Elephas maximus indicus: one gene and its partners. The protein of the gene in region 1 interacts with the protein of each later gene in a biochemical or structural test. Links are inferred from orthologs where the notes say so. Each region holds a gene or a part of one and is shown in the gene's direction. Other genes may lie near its edges.

Evidence for each region.
Region 2: the proteins of DOK1 (region 1) and FGR form a complex in vitro, tested with the Homo sapiens proteins (2 studies listed by BioGRID, with this or other methods). The link is inferred for Elephas maximus indicus from reciprocal best matches to the Homo sapiens genes DOK1 and FGR.
Region 3: of the proteins of DOK1 (region 1) and TEC, one has a biochemical effect on the other in vitro, tested with the Homo sapiens proteins (2 studies listed by BioGRID, with this or other methods). The link is inferred for Elephas maximus indicus from reciprocal best matches to the Homo sapiens genes DOK1 and TEC.

The regions. Positions count from the first base shown.
Region 1 is NC_064835.1:61,284,149-61,291,224, reverse strand, and holds the start of DOK1 (docking protein 1), read left to right. Parts: upstream 1-4,065; 5' UTR 4,066-4,148; intron 4,149-4,315; 5' UTR 4,316-4,348; coding exon 4,349-4,408; intron 4,409-4,760; coding exon 4,761-5,060; intron 5,061-5,186; coding exon 5,187-5,280; intron 5,281-5,495; coding exon 5,496-5,680; coding exon of another isoform or gene 5,681-5,687; intron 5,688-5,905; coding exon 5,906-6,715; 3' UTR 6,716-7,076. Other genes in the region: LOXL3 (lysyl oxidase homolog 3), read right to left, coding at 1-117, 1,730-2,021. UniProt on the Homo sapiens protein: DOK proteins are enzymatically inert adaptor or scaffolding proteins. They provide a docking platform for the assembly of multimolecular signaling complexes. DOK1 appears to be a negative regulator of the insulin signaling pathway.
Region 2 is NC_064821.1:67,976,601-67,984,292, reverse strand, and holds the start of FGR (tyrosine-protein kinase Fgr), read left to right. Parts: upstream 1-4,607; 5' UTR 4,608-4,663; coding exon of another isoform or gene 4,664-4,812; intron 4,813-5,354; coding exon of another isoform or gene 5,355-5,506; intron 5,507-7,692. Other genes in the region: uncharacterized protein LOC126071286, read right to left, coding at 4,664-4,812, 5,355-5,506. UniProt on the Homo sapiens protein: Non-receptor tyrosine-protein kinase that transmits signals from cell surface receptors devoid of kinase activity and contributes to the regulation of immune responses, including neutrophil, monocyte, macrophage and mast cell functions, cytoskeleton remodeling in response to extracellular stimuli, phagocytosis, cell adhesion and migration.
Region 3 is NC_064823.1:110,948,754-110,956,307, forward strand, and holds the start of TEC (tyrosine-protein kinase Tec), read left to right. Parts: upstream 1-4,538; 5' UTR 4,539-4,641; intron 4,642-7,554.

The DNA.
Region 1 (7,076 bases):
AGATAACGCCGGCATCCTCGTCGTGGGTACAGTCACTGTTCCCCCAGCCCCGGGACGCACACTCAGTCACACTCTTCTCAGTCCCACTGCAGCTCAGGTTGTCCAGCCAGATGCGGCCTGTGGAGGCAGAGATGGAGGGACAGAAAGGCTTGGAGAGGTAGAATGGGGTGTGATGGGGCTGGTGGGAGGGATGAGCATTGGGGCTTCACATCTGGCCATGATGAGTTCACTTTTCTGGGAAGATAATGGGTGGGGAAGGAACAGGAGTCTGTGGAGGGAGAAGGGGGGATTGATGGAGGGAGCCCCAAGAATTTAGTAGGGCAAATAAACAGGAATCGATACGGACGTTCTGATCAGTTCTTACACATTCAATGATAGCTACAATTGTGCCAAGCACTTTGCCAGGGTCTGTACCTATGTTGTCATCTTGGAACAGTGCTGCCTGGAAGATATTATCACTGTTTTATATAAACAAACTGGGCTTCAGAGAAGTTGAGTAACCTGCATAAGACCACACAGCCACACAGCCGTGAGGAGGCTTAGGAGTTTGGGCCCAGTCTGTGAGACCTGGAAACCAAAGATCCTTTCACCTCACTCACACATTTTCTCATGTGGCTGCCCTGCCTGTGTTGCCGTGATGCCACTTGGTGTTCTCCCTGCCTGAACCACACTGAATATCATTAACTTCTTCTCTGAATTGGGTGGAGCCTCACAGGCCTTGTGTCCCAGCCAATGTGCAGGGACCCCCTCATGCATTCCGTAACAGGGCTTACCCAGCTTCTACTGGGACATCTACCTCCACCAGGTCACTGTAACCATCAGAAAGTCCTTGTGATTCTATAAGACTTTCCTCTGTCAGTCTGATTCAGTCCTTTGATGCCATCCAGAAAAAGTCTTCAGTCACATGACTGACCCTACTATATTTAAAGATGACCATCATGTAATTGCCATCTAAGGCTTTTTCTTTCCAGATTAAAGATGGCTGGTTTCTCCAGCTATGCTTCCTTATAACTTGGCTTTTGAATCTCTGACATCTGGGTAGTTCTTCTCTGACAGTGTTTCCGTTTTCTAGCGTCTCTGAAAAATCTGACATCTATGAGTAGACACTTTATTTCAGAAGTGGTCTAGCCAGTGGGGATTGGGGGATTGGGTCAGGTTGCACCAACTCTGTCCATCAGTCCTACTGTGGTCTCAGACAGTGCAAGCACTCCCAGGCCTCAGTCAGAATTGCTCTTAATCCCCTACCAACCACACTTAGACTTGTCCTAGGCATTTTACTTGTCCTTACTCAGTTCCAGTTTGTGCGTTTCAGCTGTCGCCTGTAACTGGATTTTATCAGCAGCAGTATCTGGGATCCCTTCTGGCTTTGGGACACTCAGACATCATTTACCTGCTCTCAGCCTCCCATGGAGCAAGCTGTACTTGAATTGCCCTTGTGCATGGCTTTGTAGAATCACACCCTTTTGCAAAACAAAGGAACTTATAGATCATCTAGTCATTTTTACACATGGGGCATGTGAGACTCAGACAAAGCAACTGATCAGCCTAAGGTCGCACAGCTCTGGTGAGTGACTGTGTTGGCTGGGTGTCACTCATGGGTTTTCTTGACTCCAGCTCTTCTTGGTGTCCTGTGTCCCTGTGGTTGTGTCATTCTGGTGCTCCTCTCCCTGCACTTAGGTGTCATTTAGGCAGTCAGGGTACCTGGCTCTTCCTGGGGGGCATTGCTCACCTGTTCCAGCACCGTATTTGGCACTGTGGGTCCAGCCTGTAGCCTCTGTGAAGCCCAGCTCCCGGCAGAGGACGTGGGCAGCCTGCAGTGTGAAGTCGTCATCACAGATGGTGCCCCATTCGCCAGCACGCTGTATCTCCACACGACCCTCGTAGGGCTTCCTGGGGAAGCCAGCCAGCCGGAACCGCAGCCCCTGGTTTCCGTCTGGGGATGGAGACCCCAGACAGGAGCCACACAGCAGGCACAGCAGCAGCCCCCACGTACTCTGTTTCCAGACACTGACAGGTTGCATGGCAGGGAAGGCCTGGGTGCCCCAGGGAGAGGAATGTGAGAGAGAAGCTGAGGTTAAGACCAGAGTCCAAGTGAGATATCACGAAAGAAAGACACCGAGACATACCAGAGAGAGATAGAGAGACAGTGAGAGAGAAGGACACTAAATAAGACAGAAATATATTAAACAAGGGCAGAGACACAAAGTCAAACAGGTAAGGGATGAAAGACCCAGGCCCACACTGGGGAGAGGAGGAGAAAGAGGGGGATGATGAGGAGAGGTATATGCTCTCCCCACCGTTTTGTAAATATTGAAACCCTCACCATCAGCTGTTATGTCCCACAACATCCTTCCCTAGTTCTGCCATCATCATCTCCATTACCCCTACTCCCCAGCCCGAGAGACCCAGAGACTGAAAGACAGTAATTAGAGACCAAGAGTCAGAGAATGGTCAAAACAAAGAGATAAAGAGATGGAGACTGCGCAAGAACACACAGAGAGGAAGACCCAGACAGACAGGATGTGAGAGGAAGGGAGAGTGTGGGAGTGAAAGGGAGACCAATGGAAAGAGACTGCAGGAGAGACAGACACAGTGAAGACAGTTAGAAGGTGACAGGGAGAATGCTAGGCACACAGAATTAAGGTGCCAGAGAGAAAGCTGCAGGCAACAGGTGAGGGGGAGAGGGATGGACAGGAGTCAAGGAGCAGATGTGGGAGGGACCCTGATGACTCCATTCAGCCAGTCAGAGGGACTGACAGCTCCACTGATTGCGCTGAGAGGCAGGCAAGGAGGACCCAGAAGACCCTCAGATCTCTGGTTCCTCCAACAGGAGTGGAGCCCAGAGTACCAGATGCCAGAGGCAAGGAAGGCAGACACTAGACCACAAGGAGTACCCGCTGTACACCTTTCCCACCACGCAGGCTCTCAGATGCAGGGCAGGGTCAAGAGGCCCAGGAGGGCCGGGCCTCAAGCTGGGCAGGGGGATGGGGTGGGGTTCTTGGAGCCGCCTTTGCTGTCACCGAGCAACGGGAGGCAATGCTCTGATCTGATAGGAAGCCAAGGCCCTCTCTTGGTCTGGGGCTCACAACAGCCCCTCCACAGTGAGGGGCCCACTGAAACATGCTTCCCCCAACCCAGATAAACAACCCAACAAGACATCTTTGTTCTGAGAATATTTTGGCTTGGGGGCACCGGGCTGAGGCCTCGCAGACAAGCCCCTAGCCTCAAGGTCCTCCCGACTGCCCCATCTGGGACACCCTACACGACCCCTGCCTCCCCATTTCTCCACTCTTCTAGTGTCTCACTCCTTTTTGACAATAATAAAACCCTCAGTTGGTTGGCTTCCCCTCGACTCCATCCTTTTTCCCTGGTCCCTCCACCGTCCTCTCCATCCCTAATAACCCTGTTCCTCCTCTGGCAGGCTAGCCTGACTCCCCTACCTTTGGCTGAGCAGGGATCTAGGGGCTGGTTGAAGAGTCTTGGTCCCGGAGATCAGTCCTAGGATAAAAAAAAAAGTGTTCGGACAGGGGAGACCGGACCCCCCCCCCCCATTCGTCCCTCCTACATCCCCTTGAGCCCTCCCACATTCCGCCTTCTCCCTGGATTCCTCCCTAGCCAGTTCCCTCCTTTTCTCTTCTCGGTCCTCCCCTCCCGGGTGGAGCTGGCCGCAGCCGCGCCCCCTCCCCCCCACGCCCTCCCGGCCCGCTCAATGAGGCTTTCTTTTCCCGCAGGTTGGAGGCCGGACAGCTGCGGTCGGGTAGCTGGACACGCAAGAGGCCGCGGGGCCGCCTACAGGCCCGGGCGGCAGCCCCCGTGGCGGCGGGAGGCCGCTGGGCTCGGGGTTCCGGGAAGCCTTCCAGCCCCCAGCCCTTCCCCCACGCCCCCGGCTCGCGGAGGGTAAACACTGCGACTCCGGCCGGGCTGGGGGCGGGCCGGGCGAGGGGAACTGAGGCCATGAGGGCCCACGTGGCCCCTCTGGGGCCCCAGGGTGCCCGTAGGCGCTCTCGGGGTGATGTCACGGCCTTCACTCTGATGTCACGCAGGGCATAAGACGTCACACGCAGCCCCCTTCCCAGGCGCCGGGGCTGTCTGGCCGAAACCCGAAGTTTTCTCTCTGCGGAGCCACTTGTGCGCGCCCCACGGCCGTGGTAAGGGCCCGGAGGTGGTGCGGCCGCCCAGCTTATCTGGGGACCCCGGTCTTTCTTGCACCTCTCCCTCCCCCCTGTCGCGGCCCGCGGGGGCAGGGAAGGGCGGGAACGCCTCTGACGAGTCCGGCCCCGCCTGCGACCCGCCCCGTCCCGCCTCCCGCCCGCAGTGCCAGGAAGCGCCGAAGGGACCGCCGGGGGCCATGGACGGGGCTGAGATGGAAGGGCCGCTCTTTTTACAGAGTCAGCGCTTCGGGACCAAGGTAGTGGGGTCCAGGGGCTGCCGATCCCCTTCAGAGCAGGGGGTGGGCGGAAGGGCCCAGAAAGCAGGAGGGAGCGGGCGCGGGTTGGAGCGCGGCGCCGGGAGCTGGAGAGCCCGGTGATGGTCCCGCGAAGTCGCTCTGCACACTCCAGAGAAGCGTCGGGGTACGTCCTCCTTGTTCTTGGGGAGACGGAGCGGCGTCGTCCTTGGGAGACTTTGCCCCGGGTCGGGAAGCCCCAGACGCCAAATCAGCCTGAGACGCCAAATCAGTCTGAGCCCGTTCAGCCGCCGCGGTAGGGGCCCGGGCAGCCCGCGCTCGCCCCGCACCTTCCCCATCGTGTCTCTCTCCTTAGAGGTGGAGGAAGACCTGGGCTGTGCTCTACCCTGCCAGCCCCAACGGCGTGGCCCGGCTCGAGTTCTTTGACCACAAGGGGTCGGGCTCAGGGGGTGGCCGCGGGGGCTCGCGCCGCCTGGATTGCAAGGTGATCCGCCTGGCAGAGTGTGTCAGCGTGGTCCCCGTGGCCGTGGAGAGCCCCCCTGAGCCCGGCGCCGCAGCCTTCCGCCTGGACACAGCGCAGCGCTCCCACCTGTTGGCCGCGGACGCGCGGTCCAGTGCCGCCTGGGTGCAGACGCTGTGCCGAAATGCCTTTCCGGTGAGGAGGTCGGGGAGTGCGATCGAGGGGCTGGGGCGAAGCGGGGATGCATCCGGCTGGCTCAGACCCTGGGAGCCACGCTGGGAGATTATGGGGTCCTCTACACTCCCTCTCTCTTTACGACAGAAAGGCAGCTGGGCTCAGGCGCCTGCCGAAAACCCACCCAAACTTTCTGCCTTGGAGATGCTGGAGAACTCGCTTTATAGCCCCACTTGGGAAGGTAGAAACCCCAAGAAGTCCGGGCAGGGATGGAGTGGGGAGGAGGAGTGCCCTTGGGAAGGGAGTGATTAGAGGGTTCATGGACCCATAGGGAAGGGAAGATTTGGCTTCCAAGTGAGTGCCAGGACACTCTGCTTCTGACTCCTTCCGGGTCCTCATTCCTTCACCCTAGTCCCCAGTAACTCTTTTAAGCATCTAATCTAGTGTTCCTTTCAGGATCTCAGTTCTGGGTGACCGTGCAGAGGACTGAGGCTGCTGAACGCTGTGGCCTGCATGGCTCCTACATGCTGAGGACAGAGGCTGAGAGGCTGACTCTTCTGGCCATGGGCACCCAGAGTCAGAAACTGGAGCCCCTCCTTTACTGGCCCTACACTCTGTTGCGTCGTTATGGCCGTGACAAGGTGGGGGGTGAGGACCGTCAGGGACGGCTGTCAGAGAGGGCTTGCTGGGTTGGGCAGTTGTTGGTGGGGTGGGACAGGACAGGAAGGTGGGAAGCTCTGCTCTCTGGGACCCCCCTTCTTGGCCTACCCTGTGACCCCCGCTCCCCAGATGGTATCTTCAGATTCCCTACCTAGTTCAGCCCTGTGACTCACCTCCTCTGATGCTTCCCTCTATACCACCTTCAGGTTATGTTCTCTTTTGAGGCCGGCCGCCGTTGCCCGTCTGGCCCCGGAACCTTCACCTTCCAGACGGCACAGGGAAATGACATCTTTCAGGCAGTTGAGACAGCCATCCGTCAGCAGAAGGCCCAGGCAAAGGCTGGTCAGGGGCATGATGTCCTGAGAACTGACTCCCATGAAGAAGTGGCAGAAGGGAAGCTGGCTCCTCCTTGTGGCCCTCAGGAGCTCCTGTGCAGCCCCCCATCCCTGTATGCTGAACCGCTAGACTCCCTGCGCATCCCTCCAGGCCCTTCCCAGGACTCCCTATATTCAGACCCCCTGGACAGCACCCGTGCTCGGGCAGGAGACGGGGCGCAGTTGAAGAAACCTCTCTACTGGGACTTGTATGAGCATGTACAGCAGAAGTTGCAGAAGGCCAACCTGAAGGACCCCAAAGAAGACCCCATCTATGACGAACCTGAGGGCCTGGCCCCAGCCCCTTCCCGAGGCCTTTATGACCTGCCTCAAGAGCCCAAGGATGCATGGTGGTGCCAGGCTCGGGTGAAGGAGGAGGGCTACGAGCTCCCCTACAACCCAGCCACTGATGACTATGCTGTGCCCCCCCCTCGGAGCGCAAAGCCTCTCCTAGCTCCCAAGCCCCAAGGCCTGGTCTTCCTTGAACCTAGTACTGAAACTGGCAGTGGCAGCAAAGGCCACAACTCAGGCACTGCCTTGTATAGTCAGGTCCAGAAGAATGGGGCCTCGGGGAGCTGGGACTGTGGGCTCTCCAGAGCAGAGACCAGTAGGACTGGAGTCCAGTCAGAGGACTCCATATGAGAGTAAGGCCTGGCTGGCAGAGCTAATAGGAAGACTATGGGGAGATGGCACTGGGGATGAACAAAACCTGTGAGAACTAGAGGGAAGCAGGGCACAGGGGGCTCCTGTGTGAGACCAGGGTCTCAGAGGGATTAGGGTTGTTGAGGGAAGGATGACCAATTCCAACAAGTCCTAGGAAGTAGAACAGATGGCAGGAACTGAGGGATGGGATCTGGGGAGGGCCAGCACCCCTAAACCCTCCACCTCCCAAAGGAATGGACAACTGCTGGACTACATCTATAGAAAGGGGTGTACGATGAGAACAGGTGCAGTTTGAGGGGCCTGTATGGAGACTCTAGGGAAATGCTGAACTGTGCCTGGT
Region 2 (7,692 bases), on another chromosome or scaffold:
CATCCTTCCTGACTTTAAACCACTCAGTATCCCCTTGTTCTGTCCGAACAACTGCCTCTTGATCTATGTAAAGATTCCTCATGAGCATAATTAAGTGTTCTGGAATTCCCATTCTTCGCAGTGTTATCCACAGTTTGTTATGATCCACACAGTCGAATGCCTTTGCATGGTCAATAAAACACAGGTAAACATCCTTCTGGTATTCTCTGCTTTCAACCAGGATCCATCTGACATCAGCAATGATATCCCTGGCTCCACGTCCTCTTCTGAATCCAGCCTGAATTTCTGGCAGTTCCCTGTGGATATACTGCTGCAGCCATTTTTGAATGATCTTCAGCAAAATTTTGCTTGCATGTGATATTAATGATACTGTTCTATAATTTCCACATTCAGTTGGATCACCTTTCTTGGGAATAGGCATAAATATGGATCTCTTCCAGGCAGTTGGCCAGGAAGCAGACACTCACATGCCACTTATGTGTGCCAAGCACTGGCCTAACAGCTCACTGGTTTCTCCCAGGACCCCTATGAGGTAGGGTCTGCTATTATCTCCATTTTACATATGAGGAAACTGAGGCACAAAAAGGTGAAATAACTTGCCCAAGGCCATAAAGCTAGGAAGAGGCCTACAAACCAGGCAGTCTGGGTCCAGACTCGATGCTCCTAATCACTAGGTTATTCTGAATGGATGAGTGAGAGGCATAGAACGCCCTGTCACTGTCAGAGCCCTGGCCCAGGAAAGGGAGGACCAGAGACTGGATGAGGCAGCTTAGCCCCAGGGGCATCAGACAATAAACAATAAACTGAAAAATACATGATTTCAGACTGCCATGAAGGAGACAAACCACGTGCTGAGACCAAGAATAGGGGAATGAGGGCTCTCTTATGAATTTAATTGTGTCCCCCCAAAATATGTGTTGGAGTCCTAACCCCTATGGGAATAGGGTTTTCTTTGTTATGTTAATGAGGCCATATCAGTGTAGGATGTGTCTTAAACCTGATCACTTCTGAGTTATAAGGAACAGCATAGAGCAGGACAGAGACAAGGAAGCACAAACGGGGGAGGACAGATGCCAGGTGACCTTCACCAAGAAACAGAGGAATGCTGGAAGAGACAAGGATCTTTCCCCAGAGCCCACAGAGAACGAGCCTTTCCTTAGAGCTGGTGCCCTGAATTCAGACTTCTAGCCTTCTAAACTATGAGAAAATAAATTTATGTTCCTTAAACCCACCCATTTCTGATATTTCTGTTACAGCAGCATTAAGTAACAGGTTCCTTATATGGGGTGGCCAGGGAAGGCTTCACTGAGGAGGTGGCACTTCAGGTGAAGGATAGAAAGGAGCCACTACTGTGAAGAGCAAAGAAAATGAGGGAACAGCACGTGAGAAGGCCCTAAGGCAAGAATTCAATGTACTCTAGGAACTGAAAATGATTCCAAGGGGGCTGAAGAGGAAGATGGTCCCATATGAGAATGGAGAGGTGGGTAGCAGCCAGGTATGTAGGGTCTAGGAGGCCATGGCAAGGAGTTCAGATTTTATCATTTTTTCTAATGCTTTATTTTTATTATTCCAAGCAAATAGGAAATCAGCCATTGAGAGTTTTAAGCAAGCAACTAACGTGGTCTAATTTATACATTCAAAAACAGAAGCAATTTTGTTCTTCCATTCGACTATTCATTGCTTCTTAAATTTATTCGCTCATTCTTTAATTCATGCCTTCAACTCCTTATTCTTTCATCAGGCATTCACTTGTTGACCTGTGAATTCCTTTGTTCTTTAAATGATTCATACATTCCTATGCTCAGAGGGCCTGCTGCTGTGCACCAAGCCCTGTGTGGGCACCAGGGGCACTGACAAGAGCCAGACCCAGTCCCGACCCTTAAGCAAAACACATCCCCCCAAACCCATACCCCAGGAACTACTAGTGCACCAGGCAGAAGGTGTTGAGTGCTCTGCTGGGGATGGGGGCAGCAATCAGGGAGGGCCTCCTGAGGAAGTGCCTGTGAGCCGGGCCTAGAAGGATGACACAGTGAGCTTACTGGCTGCACAGGTATGCTATATCTCTTTCACCATCTCTCTAGCTGCTAATGGACATAATAGCTATTAATGGACGTGAAGTAAAGTGTGTGCTTTATGGGGAGATGATTGCCCTCTGGAGAAACCCAGAGCTCTATCTTACTGGGGCAAAGGAGGAAGGGATGTTCTTTGTCACCAGTAAATCTAGAATAGCCTCAACGTGTTGCCATCTATCTGGTCGTTTCTGACTCATTGAGACCCTATAGGACAGAGTAGAACTGTCCCATGAGGTTTCCAAGGAGCGGCTGGTGGATTCGAACTACTGACCATTTGGTTAGCAGCCAAGCTCTTAACCACTGAGCCACCAGGACTCAACCAGGGCAAAAAATGGTGTTCATTGCCTGCAGGCGGCCCTCCACTTGTATTATCACCTTTTAACTTTTATTACCCTTCCCTCCACCACACACACTTTAATTGCCCCCTCCCTACCTGCTCTCTGTAACTGCTATCTGGTACACAGACATGGCTGGCCGATTAGTATTTAACCCTGGGAGAGAGGAACTGAGGCATTCTCCTCCCGAGATGTGAACTGGGGCACGGCTGAATGTGATCTAATCCTGTAGACAGGAGCCTAACTTCAGGGAAACTAGGCTGATGATGACGTGTGCCATTCTACTCATCCCTGTCCTGTTTATTCTGTAAGTCATAAAGGCCTGTCGAGCAAGCCATTAGAACTGTCTGATCTGTGCTCTGCTCTAAACAGTCTTTCACTAAGAACATGTGAGAATAATGACACTGCAGAGCAGAATCATTGCAGGTTCCCCAAAAGGTCTCTTTCATCTGTGTGTTCCCTAAGGTTGCAGGTGACAGGCAATGAGAAATGGTAGTTTGTTAATTGAATGTGTGGACCAAAGGCCAGGCAGGAGATACTTGGTGGTGGAGATGATGCTGCCCCAGCCACGGTGAGACCACCCTTCTGAAGCCCCTGTACCTCCACTGGTTCCCCTGTGTCTTCCTCCCTGCTCCTCCTCCATTTTCCTAAGTGAAAAGCAGTCTTACCTGCATCTCACGGCTCTCTACCATCCCACAGACACTGGTACACATCTGAATCCCCCTCCCTGCCACACATAGAGGCCCTGCTCAGGCATAGGAACACCTGGGTGTGCATAACACATCCCAGTTGTTGGTTCCAAAAATGCAGTCATCATGTTCATTGCTGTTATGGACTGAATTGTGTTCCCCCCAAAAAATGTGTGTCAACTTGGCTAGTCCATGATACCCAGTATTGTGTGGCTGTCCACCATTTTGTCATCTGATGTGATTTTCCTATGTGTTGTAGATCCTACTTCTATGATGTTAGCGAGGTGGGATTATCAGCAGTTATGTTAATGAGGCAGGACTCAATCTACAAGATTAGATTGTGTTTTAAACCAAGCTCTTTTGAGATATAAAAAAGAAGCTGAGCAGAGAGACATGAGGACCTCGTTGCTACTAAGCAAGAGGAGCCAGGAGCTTGTGTCCCTTGGACCCGGGATCCCTGCGCTGAAAAGCTCCTACACCAGGGAAAGATTGATGACAAGAACCTTTGCCCAAGAGCTGAAGCCTTCCTCTGGAGCTGGCACCCTGAATTCAGACTTCTAGTCTCCTAGATGGTGAGAGAATAAATTTCTCTTTGTTAAAACCATCTGCTTGTGGTAAATCTGTTGTAGCCGTGCTAGATAACTAAGACAATTTCCTACAATCACACACACACACACAGTTACCCTGTGCTCTCCACCCTCCCTGCCTCCCCACCACATATCAACACACACTTCACCAAGCAGCCCTCCCTCATGCACCTCTTCCTCTCCAGGGAAGAAGTGATTTTCCTGGTCTTTGGATTAAGCCTGAAGAAGCAACAGTAGTGGGAGGTGAGACTGAACCCCAGACTGAGAAGGAATCAGGGATCCCTATCAGTTGGAAAAGAAGGATCATCTTCCTTTTTTTTTTTTAAGACTTGGGAGAAAGGGGCTCTCTCTCCCTCCAGTGTGGCCTGAGGGCAGGTTCCTCTCAAAAGCAGTTTCCTAAGGGAAGGGTCTCTGGCTTCTCCTGCCTGCCTACATCCCTGCCCCAGAGACTGCCTCCTGAGGAAGATAAGGCATCAAGATGGGATCTGAAGCGGATCTGGTGACAACAGCCTGAGGTCAACTGGCTGTGAAAACTTGGCTAAGGCCATCTGGGCCTCAGCTTTCCCAGCTGTAAAAAGGGCAGAGTGGGAAGTGGTCTTCAGGAATAGATAAAAGCCCTTACCTCAAATCCATTGATTCTAGGAGAGCAGGTGTTTCTGGGGGTGAGGAACCTGCTCCTTGGAGGAGGCCTTTGGGAAGGCTGTTCAGGGCTTTGGGGATACTGGGGTGCCGGGATAGGGCTGGGAGAGCCGACCCTGGTAACCCGGAGGAGGCCGGCGGTGGGGGCCGGCGGGTCTGGGATTTGAGGGCCCCTCCCTGATGCGGGCAGCAGGCTGGGGTGGGGGCGTGACTGTGAGTTCTAGCCTCCACAGCCTCCCCGCCGCCGGCCACCGCAGCAATAAGAGAAGTCTCAAGCGGCTTCCTCCTTCTGCCCAGAGGGGGCGGCGGTCAGAGACGGCGGCACCCCAGTTCTCTCCCACGTCGGCACTCGGCACTGCTGGAAGCGCCAGGTGGCTTGCCCGGGGGTCGCCAGAACCGGCTTCCCCTGGACCAGGTATGCGGGGGCTTCAGATGGGACAAGGGGCTGGAGACAGGGGCCTGGGAGGACGTGGGAGGAGGGCTGAGGGAGCTGGGGGCCAAAGGGGCCCCACCCCGAAAAGAGGAGACCTAGAGAGTGAGATTGATGAAATTTTGGACGGAGCTGAAGGGCTTTCGGGAAAGCGAATGAAGGGGATCCCCAAAAAGATCTGGTGGGCAAGAGAGAGGGAACCTGCAGAGTGAGATTGATAGAATTTAGGAAGGGAGCTGAGTCAGGGAGAGGGACTAAGGGGACCCCCAAAAGGGTCTGGGAGAGAAGCTGAGGGGACCTTGAGAGTGAGAATTTGGGGAGAATCTGAGGGTTCTGGAGAGGGGAACTAGGTTGGGGGACTGGGTGAATCAAGTGAGGGAATTTGCCGAAGGGGCTCAAGGAGAATCACTACGGGAGCCTAGTAGATACCCATACTCCGAATCGACAGAAGCCAGGGGTGAAGCTTACAGCCAGGAGGGGAGGGAAGGCGACCAGGAGCGCCCCCGAGACCCTTGCGCCGGGCACTGGTGGGCGGGCTCGGCACCGCGAGGGGATTCCTGAAGGCGCTAGAGGCGCGAGTCCCCGCTTCCTGGGGAAGTCACGCTCTCAGCAGGGACCAGCCTCTCTGGGTGCCTCCTCCCCCCCGCCCCCGGTGGCAGTCTCGGTCCGCTTTCCCCTCGGGATCCAGGAATTGCTGGCCGCCCCGACGGAAATCCTGCCTTTGACCGCGATTGCCTGGAGGCGTTGTCTCCATGGCAACGCCGGACGGTGAGGCCGAGCCCCGCCCTTGGCGAGCGTTGGGCCCCTGGCTGGCGAAGCCTTTTCGGTCCCCCTCCCGGCTTCTGGGTCCTCAGTGGGGCGCTGACTTCCCGACAGGGGGGTGAGATGATGAGGCTCAGTGTTCGGGGATCCTGGGGCAAGGATCTGCAGTCTCAGAGACCTGGGTTCTTAGTCAGACTGTGCATTTAACCACGTGACTTTAAGCAAGTTATGCGGCTTCTCTGGACCTCACTTTCCTCATCTGAACAATATGGAGAAATTTGCCCTGCCCATCCCTCTCCCCAGTCATGAAAATCAGGTGCAGAAAATAGTTTGTGCTGACGGATTAAGGGTTATCTGACCCAGCGAGCCTCTCCTTTGCCTTCTCAAAAGCAAGGAAAGGAACCAGAAAGCCTGAGTGTGTCCCACTGACAGGGCTTCCAGGGACCAGCACTGATGTCTAATAAATAAATGTCTGTGGATCTTTGGAGGGCCCACACTGGGGAGGTCAGCAGGTTTGAGACATGTCCCCCATCCCCGTGGCGCCATATCCAGTTGGCCACCCCCTCAGGCGCGTAGTCCCTTGGGTATCCTGAGGCCGTTGGCATCTCTCTGTGCTGGTGGGTGGGGGGGCAGGGCTGTCTTTCCATTTCACAGGTGGGGAGATAGAGGTTCAGGAGGCAATGACTGACAGGGCCAGCAGTAGGGACCTGGACTCCAGGGCATCTTGTCCCTGATGTGACAAAGTAGCTAGAGCTAAGGTATGAGTCCTCACCTCCTTCCTCCCAAGTCCCACCTAGCCCTCTGGAGAAGAGAATGTGGGGTAGGGAGCACATGGAGGAGGGGGAGTGGGTGGAGGAAGGAGAGTAGGTAGAAGACGGTGTGGGAATAATGGACTTTATGGTTCACTCCTGCTCCCCAGTGGGTGTGAAGCTGCGAGCGAAAGTGTGTGAGTGTTTGTATGATCTGGGCTCTGAGGGAGTGAGCAAGAGCATGTAAACTTATATGTGGGTGCTTAGGTGTTCTGTGCACCCACCTGGGGCCAACGTGGGACAGGAAGTGGCCAGACCCTGGGAGGCTGGAGTGGGGAGCAGAGCAGGGGAAGAAGGAGCCAGGGCCCTTTGTGTAAGAAGAGACTGGGCTGGCCTCAGGTGGGAAAGGGCAGGGTAGCTCCCCAGGATTAGTGCAGCACTTCCTGTCTGGCCTTGCCAGAGAATCTAGACTCCAATCCCCCAGCTCCCCCTGGACATCCTTGACTCCCATCTCCTGTGAGCCCTGCGTCCCAAGCAAGGTGGGACTGAAGACTGTGTTTTAGAAGCTGGTGAGTGTTCAGCAACAGATGGGAAACCACTTTTACCCACAAAAAGTGAAGAAAACTCAGCTGGTACCTTCAGGACCAAGTGGAGGGTAAATCTGGCAAGGCAGATAGGCCATCTCATCCCTCCCCACACCCTGCAGTGCACACCTGGCCCCTAGCCCCACCAGAGCAGTAGAGTCAGAGTGGGGCATTTCTCCTTAGGCCCCAGGCATTCAAGGGCAGGAGGTTGTGAGGCTTCTAGAAAGGCTGGTGTTTAGTGAGGGGGATGGAGGCCCAATGAGAGGCTTCAGTGAGGGGGATGGGGCTCAGTAGGGCACTTGGGTTCAGTGAGAGCTCTGAGGGTGAAGTAGGGAGAATCTTCGATCAGGGGATCCAGGTCTTGGTAAGGGGTGGGGTGCAGGGGGCTGAGGTGGCCTGCAGACTTTAGACTTGTTCACCCCCTTGCCCCTCCAGCCCTGGCCTGCCTCCTGACCAGCCCAGGGTCTTGAGGAGAAGCCGGAACTCTTGCAGGCCAGTGGTTTCCTGTGGCTGCCCCAAGTCCCAGTTCCCTTTTGGTGAAATCCCCCAGGCATCAGGGCCAGCTCAGCCCTCCCCACTTCACCCAGGGAACTTCTCCTTCTCTCAGCCCTGCCCAGCCCTGCCCCTGGGCCTCCACCTACTCCCTGCTTTAGAGGGGGCTTCCTCAAGGGAAAGGAGGGGAAGTGAAAGTTAATTGACCATCTAATGTGTCTCTGGTGCTTTGAGGTGCTTGACCTCATCAAATGCTCAGAAGCAACCCCATGAGGAAGAGATTTGTATTACTATTTTATAAGCAAAGAGACGGCATCTCAGAGAGGAGAAGTTATTTGTCCAAGGTCTCAAGC
Region 3 (7,554 bases), on another chromosome or scaffold:
TGACCAAAGACCAAGGGAGTTGTGGAATGACATCAAGGACATCATACATGAAGAAAGCAAGAGGTCCTTAAAAATACAGGAAAGAATGAAAAGACCAAAATGGATGTCAGAAGAGACTCTGAAACTTGCTCTTGAACTTCAAGTAGCTAAACTAAAAGGAAGAAGTGATGAAGTAAAAGAATTGAATAGAAGATTTCAAACGGTGGCTGGAGAAGACAAAGTAAAGTATTATAATGACATGTGCAAAGAGCTGGAGACAGAAACCCAAAAAGGAAGAACGTGCTCCACATTTCTCAAGCCAAAAGAGATGAAGGAAAAATTCAAGTCTCAACTTGCAATAGTGAAAGATTCTATGGGGAAAATACTAAACGACGCAGGAAGCATCAAAAGAAGATGGAAGGAATACACAGAGTTATTATACCAAAAAGAATTGGTCAACATTCAACCATTTCAAGAGGTAGCATAAGATCAGGAACCAATGGTACTGAAGGAAGAAGTCCAAGCTGCACTGAAGGCATTGGCAAAAAACAAGGCTCCAGGAATTGAGAGAATATCAATTGAGAAGTTTCAACAAATGGATGCAGTGCTGGAAATGCTCACTTGTCTATGCCAAGAAATTTGGAAGACAGCTTCCTGGCCAACCCACTGGAAGAGATCCATATTTATGCCTATTCCCAAGAAAGGTGATCCAACCAAACGCGGAAATTATTGAACAATATCACTGACGTAACACGCAAGAAAATTTAGCTGAAGATCATTCAAAAGTAGCTGCAGCTGTATATTGACAGGGACTTGCCAGAAATTCAGAAGAGGACGTGGAACCAGGGATATCATTGCTGAAAGCAAAGAATACCAGAAAGATGTTTCCTTGTGTTTTATTGACTATGCAGAGGCATTTGACTGTGTGGATCGTAACAAATTATGGATAATATTTCTAAGAATGGGAATTCCAGAACATTTAATTGTGCTCATGAGCAACCTGTACATAGATCAAGAGGCAGTTCTTCAGACAGAACAAGGGGATACTGTGTGGTTTAAAGTCAGGAAAGGCGTGTGTCAGGGTTGCGTATCCTTTCACCATACCTATTCAATCTGTATTCTGACCTAATAATCCAAGAAGCTGGACTATATGAAGAAGAATGGGGCATCAGGATTGGAGGAAGACTCATTAACAACCTGCAATATGCTGATGACACAACCTTGCTTGCTGAAAGTGAAGTGGACTTGAAGCACTTACTGATAAAGATCAAAGACCACAGCCTTCAGTATGGATTGCACCTCAACATAAAGAAAACAAAAATCCTCACAACGCGACCAATAAGCAACATCATGATAAATGGAGAAAAGATTGAGGTTGTCAAGGATTTCATTTTACTTGGGTCCACAATCAACACCCATTGAAGCAGCAGTGAAGAAATCAAAAGACGCAATACATTGGGAAAATCTGCTGCAAAAGACCTATTTAAAGTGTTGAAAAGCTAAGATGTCACCTTGAAGACTACGGTGTGCCTGACTGAAGCCATGATGTTTTCAATCACATCATAGCATGGGAAAGCTGGAGAATGAATAAGGAAGACAGAAGAAGAATTGACGTCTTCAAATTGTGGTGTTGGCAAAGAATATTGAAGATACCATGTACTGCCAAAATGATGAACAAATCTGTCTTGGAAGAAGTACAATCAGAAAGTTCCTTAGAAGCAAGGACTGCGAGACTGCATCTTACATATTTTGGACTTGTCAGGAGAAAGACATTATGCTTGATAAAGTACGGGGTCGATGAAAAAGAGGAAGACCCTTAATGAGATGGATTGACCCAGTGGCTGCAACGATGGGCTCAAGCATAACAAGGATTGTGGTTGTGGTGCGGGACTGGGCAGTGTTTCATTCTGTGGTACATGGGGTTGCTATGAGTCAGAATGGACTCAATGGCATCCAACAACAACAAAAACAACAGTTATGTAACTGTGATTCTCTCTATACACATATACGCGCACACACACACACACATACTATTTTTTGCATACAATTTCAGGTGGCTCATCATCCTCCTGCCCTCCCCTTAAGAATCCTTACCCTTGTTCATCAGTTGAAACAAGTATTTGAATGGGATATGAGGCAGAAGAGTCCAGAGCAAGGGCGAGACAGATCACAAAAGAGAAGTTTTTACTAGGTTCATTCTGAGTACATTATACTGAAGATCTTAACGGACTGAAAGAGGGTTTGGAATCAGAGGATCTTGGTTTAGATCTCTTCCCATCCCCTTTTTTCCTAACTAATTGTATGGCTTTGAGAAAGTCATTCAACCTCTCTGATTCTCAATTTTTTCTTTTGTAAAATGGAATCTCATTAGATTTCTTCACAGGGTTATTGTACAAAGAAGAGATAGTATAGAAAGGCACAAAGTAGTGAGTAAGTACAGTTAAGACCCAAACACACGAGGTATGGTAATTATTATTTGCATTTAACCATTCTCTTAGCTTCATCTCTGGTTTGATTGCCTGTCCTAATATTCAGGTCTCAGCTGCACTGTCACCTCCTCAGAGAAGCCTCTGCCATCATCTCCCTGTCACTTTCAATCCCATCACCCTGCTTCATTTTAGTCAAGACATTTCTCCCATGTGAAACGGTATCATTTTTTGCTTGCTTGTTGATTATTTATTGTCTTTCTCCTCACACTGGAATAAAAGCTCCTTGAGGGCTGACCCTTGTTTTGTATTCCTCAGGCCTGTAACAGCTCTTGGTACATGGTGGACACTCACATTTTTGAGAAGTCAGGGTAGCAATGGCTAAGTGTGTAGACTCCAGCAGAGGACTACCTGGATTTGAATCCCAGCTTCTCAATTTCCTAGTTGGGCTCCCTTAAATACTCCTTCTCCTAAAAAACAAAAACAAAAACCCAAACCCCAAACAAATCTGATGCCCTAGAGTCTATTCCAACTCACGGCAAACTTGTGTGTTACAGAGCAGACCTGCCCCATAGGGTTTTCTTGGCTGCAATCTTTATGGAAGCAGATCACCAAGGCTTTTCTTCTATGGGGTCACTAACCTGTTGCCCTGAAGTGGATTTGGACTCACAGCAACCCTGTAGAACAGCGTAGAACTACCCCATAGAATTTCCAAGGCTGTAATCTTTACAAAGCTTGACTGTCACATCTTTCTCCCAAGGAGTGGCTGGTGTGTTGGACCCTAGCAGCCTAGCTCCTAACCACTGTGCTACCAGGGCTCCTTTATGGTGCCACTAAAAAAGCCACTAGGGGGGCTCAAATCACCAACCTTTCAGTTAGTGAACCATAAAAAAAAAAAAAAAAAACCCATTGCCACAGAGTTGATTCTGACTCATAGAGACCCTATGGGACAGAGTAAACCTATTGCACAGGGTTTCCAAGGAGCAAACTGCCGACCTTTTGGTTAGCAGCCTGAGCTCTCAACCCCTGTGCCACGCTCAGTTAGTAGATGAGCACAAACCATTTGCACCGCCCTGGTACTTTATCTGGAAATCCTGGTGGCGTAGTGGTTAAGTGCTATCGCTGCTTCCAAGAGGTCAGCAGTTCGAATCTGCCAGATGCTCCTTGGAACCTCAATGGGGCAGTTCTACCCTGTCCTATAGGGTCGCTATGAGTCGGAATTGACTGAATGGCAGTGGGTTTGGTTTGGTTTGGTACTTTATCTAGGAAACTTTGGTGTTGTAGTGGTTAAGAGTTCCGCTGTTAACCAAAAGGTGGGCAGTTCAAATCCACTAGGCCCTCCTTGGAAACCCTGTGGGGCAGTTCTACTCTGTCCAGTAGGGTCACTATGAGTCGGAATCAACTTGACAGCAACGGGTTTGGTTTGTGGTTGTTTTTTTTCTTTTTGGTACCTTACCTTAGGCAAGTTATTTAACTTCTGTCTCAGTTTCGCCGTATGCAAAAACAGGGATTCTAACAATATCTACTGTAGAGAATTGCTGAGTTAATATATGTAAAGTACTTACAAGCGCCTGGCACATAGTAAGTTTTATACATATAAATGTTGGTTACTACTCTTCAATGAGTGAATAAAGTAATACATTAATAACAAGCACATGTGACCCTATAAGCGGATCAGATACGCTCCGTTGCCCAGGTTTGAAAGTAAAATGACTTATTCTTTTGGTAAAATCGTTGCTTCGCTCCACTGCACCGGTCCGGCCTGCCACTGCTTTACGGAAAGGAAGGTGCGGTTCCTAATTCCAACAGGGCCTCCAGCCACCTACAGGTGGCATTGCTCGGGGTTCTCCCGGGTCGGGGAAGCCCGAACCCTCGCGCATTGGTTCTCCTAGAATATGAAGCTCAGAACCAGGGAGGTCCAGCGCCGCGCGGTGGAACAAAAGAGACGCACCCGCTGACTTCCGCGACGCCTTGACCGGAAGGCGGTAGCTGAGACCCGGCGTCCGACCTGCCTGACTGGGCGGGGGAGCCTCGAAACCGCCGCTGGCCCTCAGAAGCCCGGCGCCGAGGGCCGCAGTGAGGCGGGGCTAGACCGGCTTTGGGGGCGGGGTGATTTTTAGGGGCGGAGCTATGGGGGCGGGGCCGGCGGGCTCCCGGCTCCGGACGCTCCGACCCGGCGGCTCTGGCTGGACTTAATACCCTGCGGAGCTGGGTGCAGCTGGCGCGCTCCAGACAGGTAAGGGTTCCTTGCGCCAGCCAGGGCGGCCTTAGGCGGGGGGTAGGGTTCTGCAGGACTCCGGGTGGGGAAGGGTCAGGATGGGGACGCCCTCGGCGAGAGGTCACTTTCACATGCCGCAAGACTGACCCTCTTGGAACGGAGGAGGATTTTCTCCCTTCCTGGCCCCGGTGAAGGAGCCCTGTTAGCGCAGTGGTTTAGCACTCCGCCGCTAACCGAAAGATCCACGGTTGGAACTCACCAGCCGCTCTGCGGGAGAAAGACGTGGCAATCTGTTTCCGTAAAGTTTACAGCCTTGGAAACCCTATGGGGCAGTTCTGCCCAGTCCTATAGGGTTGCTGTGAAAGGAATAGACTGGACGGCAACGGGTTTGTTTTTTTTGGTTTGGGCCCCAGCGAGCGCGGACGTGCCGTGTCAGGTGAGGGACCCTGTCGTCCCTTGGTTCAGGAAGAAAGAACAGGTGCGCGCCCCTGCGTGGCCGCGCCTTCCCGGCAGCTGCCGCCTCTCCACCTCCCAGGCACGGGCGCTCGGCTCCCTAAGAGCTCCCGCCCCTTTTCCCCTCGGGTCCCAGGGCCAAGGCCGTCTCGGTAGCATGTTCAGCGTTGGGTTCACTTACCGGCTGTGCAGCAGAGTTGATCCCTCTTCTCAACTTGGATGCGAGCTTGGTCTTCACTGAAAGCCAGCAAAATCGAAGAAGTTCCACAGTTGCACGTGTCAGAGTGCCTCACCCCACCAAGCGCGTCTTTTTTTCTGGGCACTTGTTTTTGAATCTTGAAAAACTGAGCTTAGCGCATCCATGAATTGAAAAAACTAGGGCCTTGACCCTAGTGTGCGCGCGTTCCCGCCTATCCTAAATTTCCTTCTGAGTTATTTACCCCCTATTTTTTTTTTTTTTTATGGAAGAATAATACGTTGCTGGGTACCAGGTTTGGAAACAACCTGATCTAGTGCTATTCTTCAGAAAACTATAATGTTTGATTAGAAAGGTTGATTTCAGTGGTGACTTGGTACAACAGAAAGGCTGGTGGTTAAGTGGATTTGAACGTTGCCCAGCATATTTAAGCATTTTGTGCACATGCCGTGTGTTTTTCCAGTGAGTGCCCGTTTTCCTCAAGAAATTCTGAGAATTTACTCCGTCTTAGAAGATTCTCCCGTAAAGAACTGGGGAGAAAACAATATAAAACAGCGGGTTTCCCAAAACAGTACTGGGGTTTAACAGGCTAGTTTGTGACAGTGGTAGCTCCTTGGCTCACAAAAAATCATATGGAATGCCGTGGTTCATATGGGGGAAAAAGAATATATGTGTTACCTTCTCCTTATTTACTTGAAAGTATTTTTTCAGTTTAGTTACATTTCAGTGCTAAAGAATCTTGTGCTTTCCCTATACTCAAATTAACCTAATCTTATGTTAATAATCTTGATTCTTCCCGTTTGTGGAACTGTATAGGGCAAGTTTTGTAAACACATGCAAATTAGCATTATGCTTTAGTTGACAATACCTTTGCCCCACATAAGCCCTTATACTACAATTTTCAAATCTTTCCAAATAGGAGGGATCCCTGATGATGTAGTGGTTAAGAGCTGGTTAAGAGCTACAGCTACTAATCAAAAGGTCGGCAGTTGGAATCTACCGGGTGCTCCTTAGAAGCCCTGTGGGGGCAGTTCTACTCTGTTCTGTAGGGTAGGTATGAGTCGGAATTGACTCGAAGGAAGTGTGTTTTGGTTTTTTGGTCCCAGATAGGAGACAATATTATGTATAGTCTAGCCTTTTCAATCTGTTTACCTAATTATACTGTATCTAGAAAATCGTCATGTTTCCTCAGCAGCTAGTTCCTCTAGGACAAGGGCTATGTTTTATCAGACTGTGGTGATCAGAGAATGGCTACCTGTGCTCCCTTAAGTTGACCTTTGACAGGGTGGTTGGAGAGGTTGTGGGCAGTATGTGGCCCACTTTTATGCTTGGAGAAGAATTGCTGGTCTCCTTGCCCTGCTTAACTCACCTCCGCCCCCCTGACCCACACCCACACCCCCCCCCACACACCCTAAGAGTATACACACACACACACACACACACACACACACACACTTTGAGTCTCCAACCAACAGGCTGACCGAGTTGGTGCCTCTCCTCTCCACCCCAGCTCTTCTAGTTCTTTGGCTTCTACCCCACTCCACCTGACTCCACCCCTCCTGGGATTCCCACCTCCAGGGAGAATTACCTTATTGCCCAGGGTAGGGAGACTTGGTCACAGACTTGGCAGGGGTGCTAACCTTCACCTGGTGCTGGATCCCCTATGGATCCTTGGTAAATGTCTGCTGATGGCAGTGTCACTTGTTTCAGAGCCCCTAAAATGCTCTTTTCTTGTCCAGTCTGTATGTGCAAAGTGCAGGGGCCTTGGTTGGATTGAGGTTGTAAATTGGGCATTCTAGTCTGATACAGTCTGATAAGAAAGGAGTGAAACTGGCCCCTGGTCACTGGAAATTGTAAAATTACCCGGTACCATATGCTTATGCCTTGAGAATTGCTTTGGGGGAAAAAAAACCCCAGAGGAAAGAGGCTTGATAGTTGCCTCCATCTCCAAATTCTCTTATTGCCTTTTTGTCTCAGTCCTAACTCAACCAGTTCTTTCTTAGATTGGATTATAATTGTTCATTTAAGTGGTCCAACCTAATGGAGAAATGAACAGTGAGTTTAGTAAGTCTGGATTTTTATTTGAGAATTTGAAGTTCTGTTCTACATTTTTCTCTCTTTCTATCAGGATCCATCTACTGTGGTCCTGATCAGAACATATGGTACTGGTAGCCAGACACCATCTAGTTTTCTGGTCTCAGGGTAGAGGAGGGTGTTGTTCATGTGGGTAATTTGTCCTGTAGACCGGTTCCTTCTCTGAATCTTGGGTTTCCTTCTTTTTC